2 linked regions of the Caenorhabditis elegans genome follow. Each later gene encodes a partner of the first gene's protein in a complex. Each region holds a gene or a part of one and is shown on either strand. Other genes may lie near its edges.

Region 1 (7,281 bases):
CAACAACGCGACCTTCGTCTGGTCGAGACACATGGCGAAGTGAAAATACGCTGGAATTCTTGAATTCTAGAGAATTGAACCAGATAATTGAGAGTTTGGATTTTCCGCCGCCTGTGAGAATGTAGACAGTGCCATTTTCATCAGCTTCATCGTAAATATCCGTGCAAAGTAGATTTTCTCCCACAAATATCGTCAGAATTCTTTTCAAATTGCCATCCGAAATTGACAAGTGCCCATCAAGGGATACTGTAACTAAATAGTTACTCGATCCAGACGCCGCAACAATTGGAGATGAATGTGCATTGCTAATCCAGTAGTTTTTTGATAGAAAATCAATTTTTTGCCGGCATAGCTGCGAATCTCGAATAAAATCGAAATTGAACTTGTTTTCTTCGCTGCCATTCAACTGCCATATTCGATGACCTCCACCACAGTATGTTTCGAAGATTGGAAGATTTGTTGTAGAGTTCCAAATGATTAGTGATGTCTGTAAAATAAGATAAGTTAAATAAAAGTGTGTGTTGACGCAGCTTTTTGTACTCCCCGAGGAGAAGATGGAAGTTTTTTATTCAACATTATAATTTTTGAGGCACCACGTATTCAAGATCGGGTGGGATACCAGATCCGGAAAACGTAGATCCGAAATTCCACCAGATCTTGAATCCGTGGTGCCTCAGAAATCAGGAAGTTCCAACAAAAAACTGTAAAATCTTCTCCTCGAGGAGTTCACGAGATATGAGTAAATCGACTCTTACCCCATAGAATCCAACAATCAAGAGATTTCCTTTCCATTCAATAAACTTTGATGGCCATGCCATTCTGCTTGATGTCGAGAAGCTTCGAAAATTCATAACCTCCATTTCATAGTTTGTAGTGCCACCACGTATTAACCGAATTGTACTCCAAATTCCAGTTTTGCCAAGTGTCATGAATATTGAAGAATTGGGAATTGATCGAATACATGTGACTTCTTTTCCACCAAAAAGTTCAAATGACGTGGAACGCTGGAAATATATAAATTTTCGAAGTTTTTAGCTGAAATAATTAAATAATATTATCTCCATTTTATTTATCTCATAACTTTCGACTTAAAAAAAACTTTTTCCAAAACCCAAATTTTTGTTTTTCTGGAGAATTTTATTTACAAATTTCCGAATATTTTTTTTTCTGTAAAACAGAAAAATTCGGAATATATTAATTTTAGATTATTCCTTTAAAAGTGGCGTACTCGAATTTTTTAAAATTGCTTTTCAGAAATTTTCCTTTCATTTTTAGATTTTCTCATCTTTACAAGGAAAAATAAATCTCGTTTCATTGTAAAAAAAAAGGAAGATTTTAGTGCAAAACTATAATATTCCTTACACTCAAGCTCAGACGAATATCATCGTTCGGTTCATCTAAATCTACATGATACAGCTCTCCATGCGTCGTTCCAATAACCAATAAATTATCGTGGACTACTGAAATCACTGCCGGAATCATTGATGCATTCTGTGCGCGGAATCTTTTCAGACATCGGATATTCTCAACGTCGGCAAAGTTGTAGACGTGCTGAAATAGTATGTTTTCCTTCGAATCCCTTCTTCTCTAATTCTTACAATTATTCCATCAATAGTCTTAATTGCCACGTATGAGGCGTGACACGTGGCAGAGATGATATTCATTGACAATTTCAATCGATGAACTGACGAAGTTGTGATGACAATCCACGTGTTCTGATGCCACGCTACTACCGAATCATCTGATGACGTCATATGCTTTATATTTGTGCATCGGAATATTATTCGGAGCATTGCATCGGATTCGAAGAGGATTAGCTCACTGTAAGATGATTGAGTTGTATGATTTTTTCTTAGAAAATAGTGAAAAGGAGTTCAAATTTCCAAGTCGCCGAATTTTAGACCATTGAATAATTTTAGGCCTTCACAGGAATTTAGGCTTTCTGAAGAATTTGTGCAAAATGGTATAAAAATGCAAACTTGGAATTAAATAGTATCTCATTATGCATTTTTTGGATTTTCCAAAAAATAAAGTCCAATATTAAATTTCGTGTTTGGAGGTTTTTTAAAGTAATTTTAGTCAAAAAAAAACTCACTTATCTGCCGTTAAAATCACTAATTTCCCATTTAAATTCGCAAAATTCATCAAATCATCTTTCAAAATTACAATTTTCGATTTCAATGATTGCTGTTCCACGTGAATTTCCAAAAGATCTCCATTTTGAGAGCTGATCGCCAGTGTACTATCGTCTATTTTACTGATTTTCTGAATAACACCAATTGGAATTGCAATCTTTTGCCGCAAATCAATCGAACGTTCATCATATTTCCAGCAGAACAGTGTTTGTTCGATACCGCCCGTGTAGATTCTATAATTGATTGGATCCACGCAAATGGCGAATGGACGGGCTGTATGACCGAATACTGTGCTAAAAATGGAGAATTGTGTCGATTTACGCAGCAGTTCTCATGTACTCCTCGTGAAGAAGATTTTTTTTTGAATTGTTTTAGTTGAAATCGATAAATTTAAAGTTAAAAATAAGTATTAGAAAACCAACCAAAGCGGACCACTTTCTCTGTCATCAATTGGCCACATTCGAATTGTTCGATCATCAGAAATTGTGAAAATACGTGTGGAATCCGTTACAATTGAAAAGATCATTCCCTAAAAATTGGAATAGTATAATTCTTTTTTCGGCCAACAACAAAGCTATTTCCAAGTCAAAAATCGAACTTTATGTCCTTTTCTCATAATTGGCTTCTCGTCTTCGTGTGGCTTCCAATCAATTAATTCTCCGATAACACTTCCAAAATACACGTGACAAGATTCTGCACTATTTCCGATGATTAGAGAGCAAATTCTGGAAAATTAGGAAATTGTTCCAGTATTATTTTACTAATTTACGCACGATGTGGCAAAGTAATCGCATTGAATTTTCGATAAAACGCTCAGATTTGAAGATATGCGAATTGTGAGCGAATTCCTCGATGTTACGGTGATTATTTTCTGAAAAATTGGAAAGTTGTTTGAAGTCGGCGATTTTGAGAGTAACCTTTTACCTTTTCTTTTTTGAACAACTTGCAGCCAATGATATGCTCAGGAAACTCCTCAATTATTTGGTTTTCAGCACATTTTGAGTATTTTTCATCAAATTTTGCACATGTGATGATTTTCCCGCTTAGCAGATGTTTTTCAGCTATTTTTGATTGAATAAGGTGGTCGAGAAGACATGGATTATCTTCTAATTCGTCCATTGAACTGAAAACAATTCGTTTAAGAACAAAAATAAATAGAAAAAAGAAAAAAGAAAAAAAAACAAATTTTCAAAAATAATGCAACTGCGCTCCTCCGTACTCTCACGTTTTTCATTTTTCTTTCTTTTATTATTATACTTCCCTTCCTTTTCAGCTCTGTTTTCATCGTTTTCAACTCATTTTTTTCAGTTTTCATTTAAAATGCTTCCTGGTTTTGGTGCACAAACAGTCAGCCCGTTCCCAAATCCTCCAGAGTACGCATCGGCGTATACAAGTGATCGAATCAATAATGGTAAGGAGTTTGAATTTTGAAATTTTGAAACTAGCAGTTTTTAATTCAGCAAACAGTATTTTTTTTTGTTAGAAATAAAACGCAATTTCTCTAACAGATTTCTCATACATCACTTTAACAAGATTCAGGTTCGGCACCACCTCCGCCGCATCCACTTACGGAATTCAAGGTGTACGGAGAGGAATATCGATTGGAAGATGATGTCATCGCGTAAGAAATTTTAGCGGCTATATAAAAACCAAAAACATGCTGAGTCTAGCCGAATTTTCCCACCTATTTTGCAAAAACCTTTTTCAATACGCGGGAAAAACTAGAATAAAACATTCATTTACAGCCCTCTGAAAAACGCCGGTGTTGCTGAGCTCTACAAGAACAAAAATAATTGGAAAACCGAGATGAAGAAGTTGAACAGGTCCGCCATAGTCGCATTTTTCGATTTGGTCGAAATTCTGATTCGCGCTCCCGATCACCCAATGAGAGAGGAGAAAATGGTCGATTTACACACGATATTCATTAATATGCATCATTTGATCAATGAATTCCGGCCAGTTCAGGTAGAAAAGTGTTTTAAAAATGAAATAAAATCTATATTTTTCTATGTTTTTCAGGCTCGCGACAGTGTTCGAATTTTACAAGAGAGACAAATCGAAGAATTATCGGATATTTGCAAGGATTTTAAGTTAGTCAAATCGGAATTAAGTTTTAAATTTGTATATTTTTTCTCCTTTTTTCCAGAAAATATCTGCGTGATGGTCGAGAAGTTGTCGATGACCAATTCCAAATGATCCGTGGGAAGCTTCCAGCTCCACCTCAACCTTCGGAACTGACACGTGTCAAACTGCAAGACGGAGTGCTTCATATGCTTCAGGAGACAGAAGCTTCAGATGACGTGGAAATGAAAGAGGAAGAAGGATCGGAATATAGTAAAAAGAAAGCGAGGCTGGAACTATTATCAAGAGAAGATGGACCACCGAGTGTTGTACACTTGTTAGCAAGACAGTTTCATGATATCTCACTGAAGAAATAATTAAATAATTTCATTTTAATTTATTTTACCGGGTTTTCGAACTATGATTTTGACTCTGATGATCTTCTGAAATGCTGTAATTAAAATTTCGTTTAAAAATAACTTTTTTCAATCGTTTTTTCATCTTTGTTCTGTTGAAAATGCGTCAATTCGCATTCTTTATTTCGAATTATTTTTTATACTTTTTAGGCAGCTTTCGTGTGACATAAACAATTATCTTCAGGGAATACGTTTCATTTCGAAAAACAGTGTTTTTTCTTCAAAAAATTAAAAACCTGAAAATGAGAAAACTAAAATTTTCGGTTTTTTTATTTTAGAGGAAAACGCCAATTAAAAGCGCAAAGTCGTACGTAGCTTTTTCGATTTTATTCTTTCTATAATTGGAAATTATGAGCAGAAATTATTGATTAAAAATCAATAATTTAAGCCAAAAAAACTGTAAAATTCTCTTCTCCTCGAGAAGTATACGAATTCTGCGTGAATCAACACATAATACCCCTAATTTCAGACGCCTCCACTCATCAGGAATGTCAGATGCTGCGACAAGACGACTGATGAAAGAGCTGGCTCAACTGAAAAGTGAGGCTCCAGAAGGGCTTTTAGTGGATAATACATCAACAAGTAACGATTTGAAGTACGATCGATTTTTTCAGTTTTAATTTGAAATTAATACGAATTTTAATTTAGACAATGGAAAATAGGAGTCGTCGGCGCCGAGGGAACATTGTATGCGGGTGAAGTTTTTATGCTGCAATTCACGTTTGGTCCTCAGTACCCGTTCAATTCTCCGGAGGTAAGAACAAATTTATTTTCGTGAAAAATTGGACTAACTAGAGACTCTTTTTTGGTGTCCAGATTGGTGGAATGTTATATTTTCTGAAAGTTAAATACAATAAACATAACGAATTAAAAAATACAATCTTGCTCAAATTGATGTTGGGACAATTTTTTCGTCTTTAAACGCGTAATTAAGCCAAAAAATCATCATAAAATATAAATCCATTTGGTACTTTTTGGCTTAAATACGCATTCGGACTCCGAATTCGTATATGTATATATTGGAAATTTTCGGCAATTTCGACAATTTCCGGTTTTGGAAAATTTCGGCAATTTCGATAATTGCCGGTTTTGGAAATTTTCGGCAATTTCGACAATTTTGTCGGTTTGGGAAATTTTCGGTAATTTTGACAATTGCCGGTTTTGGAAAATTTCGGCAATTTTGACAATTGCCGGTTTTGGAAATTTTCGGCAATTTCGATAATTGCCGGTTTTGGAAAATTTCGGCAATTTCGATAATTTCCGGTTTTGGAAATTTTCGGCAAATTTCACAATTTTGTCGGTTTTGGAAATTTTGACAATTGCCGGTATTGGAAAATTTCGGCAATTTCGACAATTGCCGGTTTTGAAATTATTATTATTAATGTGTAGAAATAATTGGTTAATATTTTTGTAGTTGTTCATAAATAGAAATCTGTGACGCAGTCTAAGATATACCACTCTGAAGAGAAAATTGTAATTTTTGCAACTAATTTTCGGTACCTTCTCAAATTTAAGATATCAAGGAGTGCTTTTCGTTGCCAACTATTTTTAATCTGCGTTATACAAAAGTTTTCCAACTGCATGAAACACTAACATTTCCATTCAACCCAAAAACCAAAAAAATCGAAAAAATTATTTTTTCTTCTCGACCACTCGAAGGCAGATGGTGCAGTCTGGAAGTTGTCGGAATTGGTTGGTATTTATAAATTTTTCACTACTCACTAATTACTATGTAATTACAAAATAATATTTGAGAAAAAAATAAAAACTGAGAACAAACGAAAAAACTTATCGATCACCCTAATAGTATAACATTGTTCAATATGCACCCAAATCATCACTTTTCCAGGTGATGTTCGTCGGCGAAACTATCCCAGCCCACCCGCACATCTACTCAAATGGACATATCTGCCTGTCTATCCTATCAGATGATTGGACACCTGCTCTCAGTGTTCAATCCGTGTGCCTCTCGATTCTGTCAATGCTTTCATCGTCAAAAGAGAAGAAACATCCAATTGATGACGCTATTTATGTGAGAACGTGCAGTAAGAATCCGAGTAAGACTCGCTGGTGGTTCCATGGTCAGTTTTAATACTTAATTCGAAAATTCGAAACAAATTAAACACAATTTTTTTTCAGACGACAGTGTTTGAAGGACCCCTCCAATCTTCTTTGCTATGTTCTCCCGCCGAATACGTGATACCAGAAAATAATTGACCTATAAAATTATTTTTTTTTTCCGCAATTACTCTTCTCCCTCTTTTTTGCCTTTTTTCATCATCAATAATCCCATTCAACATGCCACCTTCAATTATACACACCTTCTTCCTTCCTCATCTTGTCTCCCATGCCATCAGTGTTTTCTGATACGTTTTCTTTTGTTTGTGAATTTTGTAAATAAAATATGCATCTTTTTAATTATTAAAAAACAACAACAACAATTAATTGGATATTATCTCGATAATTCTCACGCAGCAAGTACGGTACATGGTCTTGAAACGGCCAGAGGCACAGTACTCCTTTTTTAGAATTTTCTTTTGAGACCACGTACCTTAACATTTTGCATATTGGGGTCCCTATTCCATAAGAATATAATTATTACTGGTTTTTAAAAATTTAAATATCTTAGCCCACGGGTCCTGGCACGAGCGAACCTTTTTTAGCTACAG
Region 2 (6,935 bases), on another chromosome or scaffold:
CCTAGGCCACGGCCACCGTACCGACGATCACGTGCTCCGAAGACGGTTGAAATGCTTTAATTGTGGCGGTGACCGTAGTTCGTTCGCACATTTCGATGGTGGCTGGCTTGTCGGCGGATTTCTGGAATTTTTCGAGAATTTTCGGGGAAAAATGGCACAAAAATTGGGATTTTTGGAAAATTTTCAGTTTTTAGACTTGAAAAATGAGAAAATCGGTGGCTTTTTTCAAAATTTTCGCTGAATTTTTCAGATTTTCACCAAAAATATCGATTTTTTGAGAGGTTTTGTAGATGAAATGTCCAATTTTCACCTGCAAAAAGCTCAAATATCGCTCCCGGAGCACAGCTTGTCGCCTCTGTTGCTCTCCTTCTGCTTCTTGTGTGCTCTGGGCCATCTGGAAGTGGTTTTGCTAGGGTTTTAGGCTAGATTTAAGAGAATTTCAGATAAAAAACCATGGTTTTTGCCAATAGAATAGGAAAATGAGGAGTATTAAATTTAAAAAAAAAATCAAATTTTAAATTTAAAAATACCCAAATTCTGGGGGAAAAGTGTAAAAAATGGGCAAAAATACAGAAAACAGTTAAAAATTAAATAAAAAGAAAAAGAGATCACAGTTTTTCGAAATTTAAGAAATTTTGGAATTTTCAAGGGAAAAATTTGAAAAAAAATCGATTTTCTCTGGGAATTTCTAATTATTTAAAGTGGTGGAAATCGATTTTCAATGGGGAAAAATTGGCAACTTTCTAGAAAAATGGGGGAAAATTGAATTAAAAATGATTATTTTTGAGGAAAAAAATTTAAAAAAAAAAAGATAAATTACCCACAATTTTTCAAATTTAGCAAATTTTCAGTAGAAAAAAGGGTAGAAAATCAATTTTGAATGGGAAAAAATGAATGAAAATAAATTAAAATTGACATATTTTAAAGGGTTGAAAAATCGATTTTAAATGGGAAAAATCCCAATTTTAATAGAAAGTCATGAAAGTTTATATGAAATTGAAATTTTCACGGAAAATTAGGCAAAATTTTTTCTGGATTTTAAGGAATTTTCAAGAGGAAATGGACTAGAAAATTGATTTAGAATTCTCAATTTTCCGGGAAAATCGGCCCAAAATAATTTTTTGCTATGAAAATCAATTTTCTCTGGGAATTTCTAATTATTTAAAGTGGTGGAAATCGATTTTAAATGAGAAAAATCGAAAATTTCAAGAAAAATAGGGGAAAATTAATTAGAATTTAACTATTTTCAGGGGCAAAAAGGGATGAAAAATCGATTTTAAATGGAAAAAAAGTTGATTTAAAATCGAAAAATTAAGGAAAAATCACAAAAAAAAATGGAAATCGGCTGAAAACATGGAAAAAAAACATGAAAATCGATATGAAATTGAAATTTTCACAGCAAATTAGGCAATTTTTTCTGGATTTTAAAGAATTGTCAAGAGGAAATGGACTAGAAAATTGATTTTTTTTTCTCAATTTACCAGAAAATCGGCCCAAAATAATGGAAAAATGATGAAAATTACAATAAAAAATCGGCAAAAATCGGCAAAATATAATAATTATTCACTGGGTCTCGAGCTCATTTGTGTCTTTGAAATCTCGGCAAGCTTCTTCTGAACAACTCCGACGAGCCGATTGCTGTCGCCGACGAGTCCGACGAGCTCATTCACTTTTTCTCGCTGCTTTTCGTCGTTTTTTATCATTTTCTCCTCGACTTCCGCTTCCTGGTTGCCCGCTTCGATTGGGAATGAGTCGATGAGGATCTGAAAATTATTTAATTGGTTTTTTCCCGAAATTTTAAGCTGGAAATTGAATTTTTTCGATTTTTAGCCATTTTTCACCCAGAAAATCGAATTTTCAAAAGAATTTCGACCTAAAATTCGATTTTTTTGAGATTTTTTTCAAGAAAATTATTAATTTTGTTCTATTTTTCACCCGGAAAATCGAATTTTCACAATTTTTTTCAAATTTTAACCCGAAAATTGAATTTTTCGACAGAAAATTGGATTTTTTTTGCTGTTTTTTGGGTAGAAATCACGATTTTTTCGGCAAAAATGAGAATTTGCTTAAAATTTTCAATAAAAATTGGATTTTTCTGTACTTTTTTGGCTGAAAATTAATTTTACTGAAACTTTTGTGGAAAGTGGATTTTTTTTAATTTTGAGTTTTTTTAAATTTTAAATTAATTTTTTTTTTCGGCTAAAAATGTGGATTTTTGAATTTTTTTAAAGAAAAATTTCGATTTTTCTTCATTTTTCACCCGGAAAATCGAATTTTCACAATTTTTTTCAAATTTTCACCCGAAAATTGAATTTTTCTGAAATTTTTTGGCTGAATATTGTAAAATTAATTTTTTCAGCCAAATTTTCAGAAAATCCTAAGCAAAAAGCTTCAGAAAAGCAGTTTTTCTCGTTTTTCAAACTATTTTATATTCCAGGAAACAATAATTTTCAAAAATTACAAAAATCCTCATTTTCAGCCGAAAAAAATTTAATTTAAAACTAAAAAAAACTCAAAATTAAAAAAAAATCCACTTTTCACAAAAATTTCAAAAAAAAATCTAATTTTCAGTTAAAAAAAATAGAAAAATACAAATTTTAAATTTTTGTCGGGTAAAAATGAGGATTTTTTTGTAATTTTTTGAATAAAAATTAGGGTTTCCTGGAATTTTCTGGAATTTTTTGAGTTAAAACAGGCTAAAAATAGTTTGAAAAACGAGAAAAACAGCTTTTCTGAAGCTTTTTGCTTAGGATTTTCTGAAAATTTGGCCGAAAAATGCTCAATTCTATAGAAAACCTCAATATTTTTAGCGGCTTTTGCAATTCCAGCGGCAAAAATCGCGCAATTTGGCTCATCCTCAAGCTCCTGTGAAATTGCTCCAAATTCACATGGCGGAGCAGTCGCCTGGAGCACTCCAATCGCATTTGTCATTAATCCGGCCATTTCGTTAATCATATCCTGTAGTTGGGTCATTCGATCAGCCATTTTCAAGAGTTTTTGGGCTGAAAATGAGCTTGAAATGTAGTTTTTAATAAAAAATTGGAATTTTCGTATAAAAATTGGTCGAAATCCTCTGAAAATTCGAGAAAATCAGATAAAAATGCATTAAAATGGAGTGAAAATTCATTTTTTTTTTCAAATTTTTTCCATTAAAAATTGATTTTTTTGAGTTGAAAACCTAAAAATCCTTATTTTCTGCGATTTTTAAGGTATTTTTCTGATAAAAAACCGGATTTTATGCGTTTTTTGGAACTTTTTAGGAATTTACTAGTAGAAATTTGAATTTTTTGAAGATAATTGGCTAAAAAACTTTGAATATTTGAGAAAATCGGATAAAAATTATTTTTTTTCTTCAAATTTTTACCAAGAAAAATTGATTTTTTTGAGTTGAAAAACTAAAAAAAATCCTTATTTTCTGCGATTTTTAAGGTATTTTTCTAATAAAAAACCGGATTTTGTGCGTTTTTTGGTACTTTTTAGGAGGTTTTCTAGTAGACGTTTGAATTGTTTAGACGAAACTTGGCTAAAACTCTGAAAATTCGAGAAAATCGGATAAAAATGAATTAAAATGGAGTGAAAATCGATTTTTTTTTTCAACTTTTTACCATGGAAATCTAAATTTTTTGCGTTGAAAATCCATACTTTCTGATACTTTTTTGGTAGTTTTCTGATGAAAAGTTGGTCGAAAGGCTCTGAAAATCGGATAAAAATGAATAAAAAATGAGTAAAATTAATTTTTTTTTTAATTTTCAATTAAAAATTGAATTTTTTTTGCGCTGAAAACCAAAAATTCTAGTTTTCTAGCGACTTTTTAGAGAGTTTTCTGATGAAAAATTGGATTTTTGGCTTCAAATTGATAGTTTTCATGGAATTTTTGCTGTAAAAGTGTTTTTTTCAGGTAAAAATAGGGTTAAAACCCATTAAAAAAATAGAAAATGGAAGTAGAAAAACATGGAAAAATAGTATTTTATGGCAAAAAAAAAAGTGAGACAAAAACCAGGAAAAAAGGGTGGAAAAGCACATAATTACACTGAAAAAGAAGCCTATTTCTCTGCATTTCTATCACTTTTATCCCAAAACCAATGATCAGAAATCCATCCGGCTCTCTCTGGAGGCCATATTCTCAGGCTGAGCCTTATCTGAACAAGGGCTTCAGGTACCGGGCCGAAATGTCTGGAATCTGTTGAAACTGGGCCGTTGTCACCGCGAAGGAATACGTGACCAATTGGAACTCTGCCAGATGGAAGCAAATGGGAGGTTACTGGATCGCCTTCCTGAAAAAATTGAAAATTTTATGGGTTTTTTTTAATGAAAAATAGCATTTAAATTGGCTAAAAACATCTGAAAATTTGAAAAAATCGGAAAAAATTGAATTTTTCAAGGAAAAATTATTTTTTTTTCGACTTTTTTTGGTGGTTTTGGATGAAAAATCGGATTTTTAAACGAAAATTGGCTAAAAACATGACACTGGGTCGCCTTCCTGCAAAAATTGAAATTTTAGGGTTTTTTTCTCGGGAAAATCGGAGCAAATTGGATTTTTTGCGTTAAAAACCTGAAAATCCTCGTTTTTTGCGACTTTTTAGGTGGTTTTCTAGGAAAAATCGAATTTTTGAAATGAAAATTGGCTGGAAACAACTGAAAGTGCAAGAAACATCTGAAAATTCGAGAAAATCGAAAAAAAAAAGATTTTTTTGCGTTAAAAACCATAAAATCTTCGTTTTTTGCGACTTTTTAGGTGTTTTTTTTAAATAAAAAAATCTGGGGTTTTTTGAACGAAAATTGACTTTTTTTTGCGTTTTCTGGCTTTTTACAGATTTTTTCCATAAAAATCCTCGTTTTTTGCGACTTTTTAGGTAGTTTTTTGATGAAAAATCGGGTATTTTAAAGAGATTTTCGGCTAAAAATGCATTTTTTGCAGATATTTCTATGCTTTTTTTTCAGGTTTTTCCTCTGAAATTATGGCTGAAAATGGAATTTTCAAAGATTTTTTACAAAAAGTTTTGTAGAAAGCCAGTTTTTTTTCAATTTTTTGCGTTTTTTTTTTAGAGATTTTGTGATTTTTCAGGTTGAAACTACTTAAATTCGCTTTTTTACACTTTTTTCCTGAAATTTAAACTGAAAATCAATTTTTTTTGCTTTTTTTTGTAAAAAAAAATTGCTGAATTTCAGGTTTTTCCCACCATTGTCGCGGAAAATGGCTCTAAAAATGAGGCAAAAAAACCAACTTTTTTCAATTTTTCAGTGAAAATTAAGTTTTTTAACATGAATTTCACGATTTCCAAGCGAAAAACCAACTTTTGCAGCTATCCGTTTGCACAGAAGCTCCTTAGGCTTCTGCGGATTCACACATCCCACTATATCTCCGACCTGGACGTTTTTATTGCGAATACCTGAAATTTCAGCCACTTTTATGTGAAATTTTCATTCAAAAAACTCCTACTAAATCGCTCGGCGAGCACCAAATCACCGTCATGAATCGTCGGATGCATCGATGGACCACTACAGATCACCATTTCCCCGATGTACTTGCTTATGCAGTGTCCGACGCAGTAAAAAGCGGCGGTTCCTGGAATTTTTGGGTTTAAAATGCAGTTTTCGGAGGAAAAATTGAGAAAAAACCTTTTGTAAACCTCCAGAGAAGCTTCAAGCCCTTTGATTTGACCATATTTGTCAGAAAATCTGGAAAAAGATGTGTTTTTCTCAAGTTTTGACGCTTTTTTTAACGGAGAAAACACATTATTCATAGAGTTTTCACAATTTCGGCATGACTTTTTATGAATTCACACTAAAACCAGTGATTTCTAACGATTTTTAGGTGAAAAATTGAATTTCAACACTTTTTAAAACATTTTAAGAGCGAAAAACAAAAATAATAAACAAAAAAAAATCGAAAAACATTCTCGCTGTGCATTCTGCCGTGGCGGTGTTTGCGTACAAAACACCAGAAAACGGTGCACGTGACGTGTCGTTTTCACTTGATTTTATCGCTTTTCTCTTCCGGATTTCGCAAGAAAACCTCAATTTCTCCACGTTTTCAAAGCCAAATTTCTTGAAAACTTCATAAATTTATAGGTTTAATTAATAATCGAGCCAAAAAATCCAATTTTCAGCCAAAAATCCACTTTTCAGCAGAAAAAATCCACTTGTAGCAGAAAAATCAAATTTTCAGCCAAAAACTTCAATTTTCAGCCAAAAATCCACTTTTCAGCAGAAAAAATCCACTTGTAGCAGAAAAATCAAATTTTCAGCCAAAAACTTCAATTTTCAACCAAAAATCCACTTTTCAGCAGAAAAAATCCACTTTTAGCAGAAAAATCAAATTTTCAGCCAAAAAATTCAATTTTCAACCAAAAATCCACTTTTCAGCAGAAAAAATCCACTTTTAGCAGAAAAATTCAATTTTCAGCAGAAAAAATCAATTTTCAGCCAAAAAATCCACTTGTAGCAGAAAAATCAAATTTTCAGCCAAAAACTTCAATTTTCAACCAAAAATCCACTTTTCAGCAGAAAAAATCCACTTTTAGCAGAAAAATCAAATTTTCAGCCAAAAAATTCAATTTTCAACCAAAAATCCACTTTTCAGCAGAAAAAATCCACTTTTAGCAGAAAAATTCAATTTTCAGCAGAAAAAATCAATTTTCAGCCAAAAAATCCACTTGTAGCAGAAAAATCAAATTTTCAGCCAAAAACTTCAATTTTCAACCAAAAATCCACTTTTCAGCAGAAAAAATCCACTTTTAGCAGAAAAATCAAATTTTCAGCCAAAAAATTCAATTTTCAACCAAAAATCCACTTTTCAGCAGAAAAAATCCACTTTTAGCAGAAAAATTCAATTTTTAGCCAAAAAATCTAATTTTCACCCAAAAAAGCCGTTTTCAAAGCCAAATTTCTTGAAATGTTCATAAATTTATAGTTTTAACCGTTTATAATCGAAA

The links. The genes of interacting proteins can lie anywhere in the genome.
Region 2: let-49 (region 1) and mdt-21 share a complex: the UniProt entries of both Caenorhabditis elegans proteins name them as parts of the mediator complex.

The regions. Positions count from the first base shown.
Region 1 is NC_003279.8:14,816,969-14,824,249, forward strand, and holds let-49 (Mediator of RNA polymerase II transcription subunit 7), read left to right. Parts: upstream 1-3,443; 5' UTR 3,444-3,455; coding exon 3,456-3,546; intron 3,547-3,668; coding exon 3,669-3,756; intron 3,757-3,880; coding exon 3,881-4,100; intron 4,101-4,154; coding exon 4,155-4,225; intron 4,226-4,281; coding exon 4,282-4,573; 3' UTR 4,574-4,683; downstream 4,684-7,281. Other genes in the region: Y54E5B.2 (WD_REPEATS_REGION domain-containing protein), read right to left, coding at 1-487, 756-1,004, 1,363-1,551, 1,599-1,821, 2,096-2,428, 2,558-2,664, 2,734-2,860, 2,909-3,006 and 1 more; ubc-16 (Ubiquitin-conjugating enzyme E2 W), read left to right, coding at 5,101-5,207, 5,261-5,366, 6,462-6,693, 6,752-6,765. UniProt on the Caenorhabditis elegans protein: Component of the Mediator complex, a coactivator involved in the regulated transcription of nearly all RNA polymerase II-dependent genes.
Region 2 is NC_003281.10:11,773,694-11,780,628, reverse strand, and holds mdt-21 (Mediator of RNA polymerase II transcription subunit 21), read right to left. Parts: upstream 3,009-6,935; 5' UTR 2,986-3,008; coding exon 2,797-2,985; intron 1,764-2,796; coding exon 1,560-1,763; 3' UTR 501-1,559; downstream 1-500. Other genes in the region: C24H11.5 (Gem-associated protein 7), read right to left, coding at 22-121, 311-394; immp-1 (Peptidase S26 domain-containing protein), read right to left, coding at 4,044-4,274, 5,296-5,390, 5,441-5,566, 5,620-5,665. UniProt on the Caenorhabditis elegans protein: Component of the Mediator complex, a coactivator involved in the regulated transcription of nearly all RNA polymerase II-dependent genes.